Linked DNA regions of Canis lupus familiaris. The protein of the gene in region 1 interacts with the protein of each later gene in a biochemical or structural test. Links are inferred from orthologs where the notes say so. Each region holds a gene or a part of one and is shown in the gene's direction. Other genes may lie near its edges. The genes, in order: UBA1, UBE2E2 and UBE2C.

Evidence for each region.
Region 2: of the proteins of UBA1 (region 1) and UBE2E2, one has a biochemical effect on the other in vitro, tested with the Homo sapiens proteins (4 studies listed by BioGRID, with this or other methods). The link is inferred for Canis lupus familiaris from reciprocal best matches to the Homo sapiens genes UBA1 and UBE2E2.
Region 3: of the proteins of UBA1 (region 1) and UBE2C, one has a biochemical effect on the other in vitro, tested with the Homo sapiens proteins (5 studies listed by BioGRID, with this or other methods). The link is inferred for Canis lupus familiaris from reciprocal best matches to the Homo sapiens genes UBA1 and UBE2C.

What each region holds. Positions count from the first base shown.
Region 1 is NC_049260.1:40,993,326-40,996,972, forward strand, and holds part of UBA1 (ubiquitin-like modifier-activating enzyme 1), read left to right. Parts: intron 1-1,402; exon of another isoform or gene 1,403-1,525; intron 1,526-1,674; coding exon 1,675-1,791; intron 1,792-1,926; coding exon 1,927-1,985; intron 1,986-2,096; coding exon 2,097-2,265; intron 2,266-2,359; coding exon 2,360-2,494; intron 2,495-3,512; coding exon 3,513-3,619; intron 3,620-3,647. UniProt on the Homo sapiens protein: Catalyzes the first step in ubiquitin conjugation to mark cellular proteins for degradation through the ubiquitin-proteasome system.
Region 2 is NC_049244.1:20,515,342-20,518,988, reverse strand, and holds part of UBE2E2 (ubiquitin-conjugating enzyme E2 E2), read left to right. Parts: intron 1-2,602; coding exon 2,603-2,750; intron 2,751-3,647.
Region 3 is NC_049245.1:33,750,446-33,754,192, forward strand, and holds the start of UBE2C (ubiquitin-conjugating enzyme E2 C), read left to right. Parts: upstream 1-1,138; 5' UTR 1,139-1,202; coding exon 1,203-1,303; intron 1,304-1,374; exon of another isoform or gene 1,375-1,496; intron 1,497-2,029; coding exon 2,030-2,057; intron 2,058-3,331; coding exon 3,332-3,418; intron 3,419-3,747. Other genes in the region: DNTTIP1 (deoxynucleotidyltransferase terminal-interacting protein 1), read left to right, coding at 1-45. UniProt on the Homo sapiens protein: Accepts ubiquitin from the E1 complex and catalyzes its covalent attachment to other proteins. In vitro catalyzes 'Lys-11'- and 'Lys-48'-linked polyubiquitination.

The sequences.
Region 1 (3,647 bases):
ATTGGCTCCAGGGTCCTAGCCAGCCTCCTGCCTTCTGGGTCCTCCTTCCTCACACCTCATCCCTTAGCTCTATGGGCTGGGCCCTGAGCTTGGTCCTGACTCTCTTCTCCCGGGAGGCATTTGGCAAACAGGCCCGCACCAGCTGCATGACTGTGGGCAAGTGATTGAGTTCTCTCTCTGAGCCTTTGTTTTCTTACTTGTGATGTGGGCATGAGGTTATCTCGTTCGTGGGCATTGTTGGGATTAGACAAAGCCCTTTACCCTGTGATTGACGGGCAGTAAGCTCTTGGTAGATAATAGGGAGCTTCTGTTCTCCTGGTTAGTGTGAGAGTGTGACAGGTGCCAAGATGGAATCTTGGGTACCATGGGCGTGTTCGGTGTGTTTGGGGGTCAGGAAAGTCTCAGTGTAGGTGGCTTACAGTGGGGAGAGCATCGGTGGCGAGGGGAAATGATTGAGGGTCCTGTTGTCTCTGGCATGGGGATCTGGTCATACACAGATCTCACTCCCACAGCAGACTCCATTGTTCTGTCTCTGGGACCCAGTGTGTGATGCCTGGCAGGTTAGCTCAACCTCACGAGCTCAGGTTTTCTCATTTGTCTGGCAAAGGTGCTCAGCCCTGCCTTGCAGGGCCGGGACCATCGAGGGGATGAAATGTGATAACCTCAGGCAGCAGCCTAGGCTTCAGGGTCAGCAGATCCTGTCTTGGGCTCTGCTTGGCCACTGTGTTTATGGGAACCTTGGTCGAATCACCAAATGTCCCCAAGTGAATTTTTTCCCTCAACTCTGAGTTGGGGGATGTTATTGATGGTAGTCCAGATCTCACGGAGATGCCTTAAGGACAAAGTGAAGCAAGGCTTAGCGTGACATCTGGCACTGGGAGGATTCCTAATAAATATTCATCTGCCATTATTGTTAACCTGTTTAAGGGACTCCACAGGCAAAAGTGTGTATTTTTTCTTCCCATGACCTTTTTTATTGGCTTGGGCCTTTCCCCTCCCAGAGCTGGGTGGGGGGAGGGGGCTTTGGAAAACCCTCTTCCCCAAGCCCCTCCGGGTACTGGGTCTCCGGCAAGGTGTCTCCTGCCATCATGCTACCCTGATGGAAGTCTAAGCCACATTTCCCTCCTGCACCCCTGTCACGGGGGTTAAGGGGGAGGAGAACGGCTGCTTTTTGTTGCCTGCCTGCTCTGTGCCAGGCTCTGTGGTCTGGGCTCTCTTTCATCACTTCGGCAACTCCGTGGGGTAGGTAAGTGGCACTGTTAGCCCTTTGCACAGGTGAGGCAATTGAGCCAATGGGGCTTGAATGAGGTCTGTCAAAGAGTGGCAGGGTCTGACCTGAGCTGACACCCTCCTCTGACTTTCCCACAAGGACATTCTTCTTGTCACTCCTCTCACCCCGCAGGACTGGAGTCTCTCCCTCATGCTGGGCTGGGGAGAAAGGCGAATGGCCTAGTGGTCAGCAGCATGGATTGCAAGCCAGACCACCTGGGTTCAGATCTTAGCTCTGACAGCTGTGTGACCCTGGGCAAGTCACCTCACCTCTCTGTACCTGCCTCCTCTTCTGTAAAATGGAGATACCAGCCCTTAAGTCTTCCCTTCCCCTACAGTCACCACTAACCAACTGTAATACCTACATGCCCTAGGCTCACCTCTGATACTCCTTTTCCCTTCCAGATGTCCAGCTCGCCGCTGTCCAAGAAACGTCGCGTGTCCGGGCCTGATCCAAAGCCGGGTTCTAACTGTTCCCCTGCCCACTCCGTGTTGTCCGAAGTGCCCTCGGTGCCAACCAACGTAAGTGTCTCCTTCCTGGACCCTGGCAGGTTAGGGTAGTGAGAGTGGTGGGTGGGAGAGCCTTCGGTATCACCGTGCATCTGTCCACGCCCTCCTCTGTTTCTACCCAAACCTGTTCTTCTCCTCTGTCTCTAGGGAATGGCGAAGAACGGCAGCGAAGCAGACATAGATGAGGGCCTTTACTCTCGGCAGCTGTAAGTGGGGCCTCAATTGGGCTAAGCACGGGGAGGGGCACTGGGAGGGGCACTGGGAGGATTGGGTCTGGAGGACGAGACCTTGACCTGGAACACCCCCCAACCCCTCAGGTATGTGTTGGGCCATGAGGCAATGAAGAGGCTCCAGACATCGAGTGTACTGGTGTCAGGCCTGAGGGGCCTGGGCGTGGAGATTGCCAAGAACATCATCCTTGGCGGGGTCAAGGCTGTCACCCTACATGACCAGGGCACTGCCCAGTGGGCTGACCTCTCCTCCCAGGTACCTCTTGCTAGTCCTTCTCCCTTGCTGAGGTGCTGGTCCCCCACCCCCAGACTCGACTGCCACTCCCTTCTTCCCTGGTTCCCCTTTGCAGTTCTACCTGCGGGAGGAGGACATCGGTAAAAATCGGGCTGAGGTCTCACAGCCCCGCCTCGCTGAGCTCAACAGCTATGTGCCTGTCAGTGCCTACACTGGGCCTCTGGTCGAGGACTTCCTTAGTGGCTTTCAGGTACCTTGGGCGCAGTGGGGGGTTGCACACCACCCAGCCTCCTGCCCAGTTTTCTCCAAACCCACTTTTCCTTTGATCATTTGTTCTCTATTAAATGGGCCAGCCTGTGTGCCAGGTTTCACACTGGAGATGCAGGTGGGTTTTAGACCCTGGACCTGCTTTTTCGGAGGGCAGGGGTGTGAATGGGCAGGCCATAGAGCGTAGTGATTATGAGCACAGGCCAGAGCCAGACTGCCCTTGAGTGGGTCTCCAGTTCTATTAGTATGATCTCAGGCAGGTCACTTGATCTCTTCTGCTTTGTTTTCTTTTTCTTGTTTGTGGACTTGGGACCGGTAGTAGTACCTACTTTGTAGAGTTTCTGTGAGGGCTAAGTGCTTAGAATAGCAGCTGGTGCATGATAAGGGCCATCTGGTTATTTGTTAAATAAAAACTCTGAGCCCGAAAGAGGAGCTATGGGAGCTGAGTTTGTGCCCTGGGGCATCCCAGTGGCCGGACCCTGCTGCTGAACCTGAAGTAGTTGTAGGAGCTCACCCTGGTGGGCAAGGGTGAGCATTCGGGTAGAAAGAAAAGTCCCAAGGTACCTGGTTCAGCAGGCATTGTCTGGAGAATTGGAAGCAAATGGGTGTGGTAGGAGTGAGCTCAGACTTTGGCTGTGAAGGGAGGTTTACTTCTGTGTCTCCCAGGGCAAGGCAGGCCTGTAGGCGGGCAGCAGTGGGTGTTGATGCGTAAATGAGTCAGCTCCTCTCTACACTCTCCCCTCCTGGCTGCCTCATTACCTTGTCTGCTACCTTGCCCGCCCTGGTGTAGGGATTCGCATTTCTTTTTGCTGGGTTTCACCCTGGCCGAATGTGATCCGTAGTAGATGCTTTGGGAGACAGTATCCACGGAACCATAGTAGATAATTCTGTGAAAGCTTTAAGGACTCTTCTGAGTCCCCCCTGGTTCCGGCCTTCCTGCATTATTCTCTCCCTCTTGCCCCAGTGCTGGGCCCTTGTCCTGAGCCTCCACCTCTCCACAGGTGGTGGTCCTCACCAACACCCCCCTGGAGGACCAGCTGCGGGTCGGTGAGTTCTGTCACAGCCGTGGTATCAAGCTGGTGGTGGCAGACACACGGGGCCTGTTTGGGTGAGTGCCCCTATCCTCATCCCCCGAC
Region 2 (3,647 bases), on another chromosome or scaffold:
ACTGGATCATAAAAATATTTTGTCTTTCCATCTAGTAAGCACTTAAAGGAATAGACACACTGATTTCTCTGCAGAATTTTAATATTGTTAGGTATTCTCTATTTCATTAAATTCTGCTCATGTCTCTATCTGCTTTTATAGGATTTACTGTTATTCTTTTCTTTTCCTTAAGCACTCAATAGATGCCTTTCCTCCTTTCTAATTTGTGTATTTGAAACTGTAGATTTCTTTATGATAACTGTTTTAACCAAATTGCAAAGTTTGGTATTGGCAGTCCAAACATTTCACTGTCATTCAGTTATAAATGTAGCCAATTTTTTTCCTTTGATCCAAGAATTATTTGAAAAATGTGTTTTTCAGTTTCCCAAACATTTGATGGAGAATTTTTGTGGTCTTAATAATTCTTTGAAATATCTTAAGCTTCCTCTGTGGCTTAGTATGTGATCAGTTTAAATATGTTTCTTATGTGAATGGAAAAGAATGTATATTCTTTGTTAAGTGTGGAATTTCATTTTCATTCAATCCCTTGATTTTGTTAATTTGGTTGTTCCTATTTTCAGTATCCTTACTACATTTTGGTCTGGATGACTTCCGTTACTACAGCAAGATGTCCCTCTGATTGTAGACATGTCATTTTCTCTATAATTTTGCTAAATTTCACTTTTTATATTTTTGGCTATCTTATTAGGTACAACAGTTTCAGAACTGTTACATTTTTCTGATGAGTTGTTCATTTTATCATAATGCAGCAATCTTCTTTATTCATTTTGCCTTAAACATATATTTGATCTGATAGTAATATAGCCACTTAAGCTCTTTTTTTTAGTTGGTGTTTTCATAGTACATATGCCCACGACTTAGAATTCAGAGGAAACATTTTTCTCCTCACTTCAGAGCATAGGCTTTCTCCAGCACATGTCTTTGCTATCTCTCCCAGAAGGCATTTTCTTTTCAAGTCCATCCATTTACTGGGATCCCTGGGTAGCTCAGGGGTTTAGTGCCTGCCTTCAGCCCAGGGCCTGATCCTGGAGTCCCAGGATTGAGTCCCACATCGGACTCTCTGCATGGAGCCTGCTTCTCTCTCTGCCTGTGACTCTGCCTCTCTCTCTCTCTCTCTCTCTCTCTCTCTTCTCTCTCCCCCTCTGTCTCTCATGAATAAATAAAATCTTTAAAAAAAAAAAAAAAGTCCATCCATTTACTAAAAGACTAGCTGCTCAAGTGGCCTAATCTATATAAAGCCTCTCAATTCCAACCTCTTGCCACATGTAGACCTAAGATTTCCCCTTTCTCCATGAAGGCGTCAAATCCCAAGCCCCCATTTTATCAAGACTAGCTATTCCCTCTTCCATAGGTCCCACCCCTGGCAGCTACACTGTCAGCTCATGTGCTTAGTGCGATTCTTGGTTTTCAGTTCTGGCCTCTGGGAAATCTCTGTGCAAATTCAGCTATGCATTTTTTTAAATGTTACAGTTTCCTCAGCATTTTTAGGTATTTGGAGTGTGTATAGAAGAAATGTTAAAGTTCTCCATAAGGTCTGGCATGTGGCTAGAAGAACAGGTCTTATTAGGAATACTCATCTAGCCTGAAAATGGTACTGTGTTGTTCAATAATTGTAGAAGACTGGATCTGTCCTGAGTCTTGATTTTATGCAAACTAAATAAATTGAGTTTGAGTGGGTGCCCTGGTTAGGTGGCAACACCTACAAATATCTGCCATATATTTTTTGGTTCATAGCCATTTTGAACTTAGATACCAGAAGACTGGTATTTAAAAAAAAAAAACAAGATTTTTTTGTATATTTCAACTTAAATGTTGAGAATACTTATAAACATGTTATTAATAAATAGTATTAATATCTTATTATTATTTACATAAAACTTCTATAAAACAGAATTTTACCAGAGTTATAAAACTGATTTAGACTTAACTTTTTAATTGAAGTTCTTTAAAAATGTTATAAACATATCTCAAAATTATACCTAAACAAAGTGCAGTGGTAATCTACCTATCATAGGGAAGAGGTAGACTATGTTAATATTATATTCAAAATATAGAATTTAAGGAGGAAAGGATTCATAAATTGTAACTAGTATAGTTTCTTTATAAACTTAAGGTATATTATTTACATACATGCCTAATTCATGTTTTCAAACTGTGACAGAGAATAGTATTTATGTCCTTTTTACAATATTCCAGTGCTGTTTTGAACTTTAAAATATACAAGTCCTTAAAACAATTGGACTCCCAACAAGTTTCCTTTGAAATTTTTATTTTTTGAATTTTTTTCTTTCAAATGCTTTTAGAAATCACAGTTAGTTTTTCCCTTATGAGCATTCCTACAATTGCACTAAGAGCAAATTCAGTCCCCAGAACATTAGTTAAGTGATAGGACTCTTCATCAAAAGCAAAAGGACATGATTTTGCTATTGGGGTTTAGTTCTCTGTGCCAGAATGGTTCAAGTTCTAAAATAATGATTTTGTTTATTGATTCTTCTTATGTGCCTGAGGAGAAATTTAAGTATATGGTTCAACCAGTGACCCTTGGAATATTTTGTCTAATAAAAAGTATATCTATTTATAACAACTTTACATTTTCTTCTAGGTTACCTTCCGAACAAGAATCTATCACTGTAATATTAACAGCCAGGGTGTCATCTGTCTGGATATCCTAAAGGACAACTGGAGTCCAGCCCTAACCATTTCTAAAGTTCTCCTCTCCATCTGCTCACTTCTTACAGATTGCAACCCTGGTAAGAGACTTTAAGTCCAATATTGAATTCTTGAATAAGTCTATTCAAGACTTAAATGTCAGACCTTAGTGAATTGTTTACTACCACCACCACCACCACCACCACTACTATTATAACTATTATTATTATTGATTTTAAATTTCCATAGTATGTAACTGCTTTTGTTTTAAATTGGGTTTTCTCATTAGTCTTTTTTAAGGTCTATTATTTGCCAAGAAGGAAAGAGCATAGTGTGATAAAAATTAATGAAAAATCATTTTGGATAGGGAAGTGCATTTAAAGAATGCATTATATTCTGCTGCCAAATAATAATAAAAATTCAAATTGAATAGCTTAATCTTTAATTAGATGCCTACAGAAGATGTTAATTTGAGAAATGTGGGCTATTAAAATCTGATAACAACCAGCAGCACCACACAGACGTGACCTTGTTGGCATTTTAATAACCATGCGTCCTTTCAAGCTAATAGAACAAAAAAGCTGAATGGTTGTCAACTAGGAACTATAACTTTCTAGGAAAACTAAAGAGAGTTTATAGCCAAGCCTTTGTGGCTTGCTAGGGTGCTTTATGCTCAAAGTTCTTATTTTCTGTGTTATACTAAATGTGTGATTATGTGTCTTTGACCAGATTCTCTTAACCAGAAGACAAACCCACTGCCAGTTTTTTACATATTTGGGTTTATTTTGGAAATTACAAAAATCCAAAGGTAGCTACAGAGTTTTCATTGATTTTTTTTTTCAATGAGAAATTCTTCTTTGAGTATTTAATTAGTATTGAAGATGAAGTTCTGTCTTCCACCTTCAGGAATAAACTCACTAGAAGGTGAAGTTTTAGACAAGAGAGAAATGACAAAGGGGAATCAGGGTCTCTCTTAGGATCCTGGCTGGTCTATAAAA
Region 3 (3,747 bases), on another chromosome or scaffold:
ACAGAGAACGAGCATCGTGCTGTTGAAGCGCCTCCACAGACCTGACCGAAGCCAAGACCCCTGGCTACACTTGGCAGCCCTCCTCCAAGGCCCTGGCACCCACGTGGCGGAGGCCACTGCTGGGACTGCACCTGGATGGATCTCAGCAGCATTAAGCTGTGCCTGGGCTAGTCTGTAGTGACTCACTACAGAGCACCCCCAGACTGGCGTGTGGTTCTGTTTGTAAAGTTATCGGGTTAAGAAACAATTAAACAGTTTGTAATAGTGAGCTAGATGTGCAGTCTGTGTTGTAGGGGCCAACAAAATACCGAGGGATCTAGAAGTGGGTGTAGGAAAAAAAGGACCAGGTATCCCTCCCCCATCACAGGTAGACCCAGTAAGGTCCCCCTGCCCAGGGCATTTCTGCTTCTGAGACGGAGCTGGGAACACCACGGAGCACCGTGCCAACCTTCCCTGGCTCTCGGCTTGTTTCTTCATCCCCTAAGGTACAGAAGTGGCAGGATGTGATGGCTGGCACCAGGAGGTCGATGACAGACCAGAAGAAAAACGCGGAGAGGCTTTTATTACCCCCGTTTTACACGTTGAAATACTAAATGCCGTGCCCGAGGTCACACAGCAAACGCTGGGAACGAGCCTGTTTGTCGCAGTCTCCCGCTCTTGCCGTCATTCCCCTCCCATGAGTTTTCAAACACTGGACCCCACGGAGGTGTCCGGGACGTCACGATGTGTCGTAGGGGTTTCCGGGGAGAGGGAAGGGTACCAATGTCGTCAGGCCGGAGACGCTGCCTTCCGCCGGGAAGTAGGGAATCCCGCTGGGCGCGCCGGTCGCTCCCTCCCCAGCCAGGCGTTTAACCCGAAAGGGTTCGGCCCACGTGGACTTTTTCTTGGCCCTTTAATGGTCGGCGTTTTCCAAAGGCCACCACTCCGCCGCGGAGTCGTTAGTTAATGACAGCCTCTTCTGCCAATCGCCCTTCAGAAGCAGGTTCCCGCCGCCCAATAGTGCTGCGCCGGGGGGCGGGCCTAGCAGTTGCGCGGTGACAGAGCGCCCCGGCGCGCCCCATTGGCTGGATCAAACCCAAGCGAGCCGCTGATTGGCCGGTGCTGCCGGAGGGTTACGATTCAAACGCGGGCGGGCGGGCCCCGGCCCCGCAGTTGCAGGCCGTGCTCTCCGGGTTCCTGCCTCCCCCCCCTGCGCCGCCGGGATGGCCTCCCAGAACCGAGACCCAGCCGCCGCCAGCGTCGCCGCCGCCCGGAAAGGAGCCGAACCCAGCGGGGGCGCCGCCCGGGGCCCCGTGGGCAAGAGGTGAGGAGTATGGAGGTACCATTGGCCGGGCCGGCACGCCCTGGGCCCTGCGGTCCAGAGCTCGGACTTCCGGGCCCCCACCTCCTGGAGTGGGCAGGTATGCGGGGCCGGAGGGCACGCCGGGAGCTCGGGCTGCCCCCAGAGGGGCCCCGAAGGCGGACAGGAGGAGGCGCGTGGCCGGGGCCCTCCGCAGGTGAGCCAAGATGAAAGTGTGCCTGGGCCCCCGGTGGCTTGGAGTAGGGGGAAGCGGGGACGGAGTGGGGAGAAACAGGGATCCGGCACAGGGAGAGGCGTCAGAGAAGCTGAGGGGCCAAAGAACAAGGCAGAACAGGGATCCCTGGGTGGCTCAGCGGTTTAGGGCCTGCCTTCGGCCCAGGGTGTGATCCTGGAGTCCCAGGACGAGTTCCTGCATCGGGCTCCCTGCGTGGAGCCTGCGTGGAGCCTGCTTCTCTGCCTCTCATGAATAAATAGTAAAATCTTAATTAAAAAAAAAAAAAAAAAAAAGGCTTAACTGAACTAAACTGCCTGAGCCTGGAATCAGGAAGGGAGAGAACTCTGCCAGAAATGGGGTTGAGTGTGCCCCTGCCGCGTCTGGCTGGCCTCAGGGTTGGAGAAGCCTCTTTGACAGCTCTTCCAGGGACCCCGGGGTTGGGATTGGGGAAGCGGCACCGGGTGGAGCGCTGGCCCATGCAGGCCCCCAGATGACTCCCAACACTTACGTTGCAGGCTGCAGCAGGAGCTGATGACCCTCATGGTGAGTGACTACCTGCCCAGACCCCAAGCCAGGTGATCCACCTTCCACCTCCCATTCACTTATCAGTAGTGGCCTCTCCTACATCAGGCTTTTTGCTAGACACAGCACAGGAGATAAAAGGATGAGTCGGGTTTCCTCTCTTCTGGGCCCCACCTACACCTTTCCTTCCAGCAGTGTCTACTCCAGGTCCCCCTCAACCACCACTACCACCACCACCACCTTTAAGTTCTCTCTAAAATACAGCTCCTGGGATCCCTGGGTGGCGCAGCGGTTTAGCGCCTGCCTTTGGCCCAGGGCGCGATCCTGGAGACCCGGGATCGAATCCCACGTCGGGCTCCCGGTGCATGGAGCCTGCTTCTCCCTCTGCCTGTGTCTCTGCCTCTCTCTCTCTCTCTCTCTGTGTGTGTGACTATCATAAATAAATAAAAATTTAAAAAAATAAAATCTTTAAAAAAAATAAATAAATAAAATAAAATACAGCTCCCCCCAAAAAAATAAAAAATAAAAAATAAAATACAGCTCCCGAGGATCCTGGATGGCTCAGCGGTTTAGTGCCTGCCTTCAGCCCAGGGCGTGGTCCTGGAGTCCCGGGATCAGGTCCCACATCCAGCTCCCTGCATGGAGCCTGCTTCTCCCTCTGCCTTTGTCTCTGCCTCTCTCTCTCTGTGTCTCTCATGAATAAATAAATAAAATCTTTAAGTAAAATAAAATACAGCTCCCTTGCTATATGTTGGCAAATCAAACTCCAATAAAAAATACATACAAATAAAATACCGCTCCCTGATGCCAGGCAAGTCCTTCTCTCTGTGCTGCCTGGTCCTATTTCCCACACCCAACTCTCCACCCTTACTCTTCTTAGGGAATATACCTGTCAAACTTTCAAATAATTTTTCCTAGATGACCTTGTCTACTTTAACCCTGAATATCCAATTTAAATCCTTCTATGCTGATGTTGTATATCTCCCCGGTCTGTGAATGGTCCTTAGGCTTCGTTTGCAGCCAGTACTAACTAGCATGTTGAACCCAATTCCCAGCATCCAACAAGCTGCCTTCTGTTTCTCTGCATAACCCCTCCGCCCTTAACACATCCAGTACTCCTCCCCCACGGGGGCAGGTTCAGCCCCAGGAATCGAATCACTTCCTCAAAAAAGCCTATCAGTTTGGTCTGGTTGCTTTATTTTGGATCAAAATTTGACGAGCTTAAGGGGAAGGGTTTTACCCACTGATCCCCAAAACCATATTCTGCAGCCCAGCAGGTGTTGTTTCTTCCCCAGATGTCTGGTGACAAAGGGATTTCTGCCTTCCCTGAATCAGACAACCTTTTCAAATGGGTGGGGACCATCCACGGAGCAGCTGGCACAGTAAGTATAAGGTTGAGGTGGGTGAGTCTGGGGAGAGGTATGAGGTGAAAACCAAGTGCAGGTCAGCTTAAAGCCTGGCAGGACACTTCCCTGTTCTGTTCCTGTGCTCTGAGCCTGTGGCCCTTGTCTCCCTCTGGATAGTAAGAGGTTGGGTTTAAAGCGTAGCTTTCCATCTTAGATGCCTAGAAAGGGCAAGACGGAATGAAGAACAGAGGGTACGTGAGGACTTCAGCCAGTGGAAGGGCACAAGTCCCAAGATGGCAGCTCCCATTGCTGCACATCTGGTTTAAGTCAGAAATCCAGGGGTCCCCTGCGGGCTCTGTCAGTGA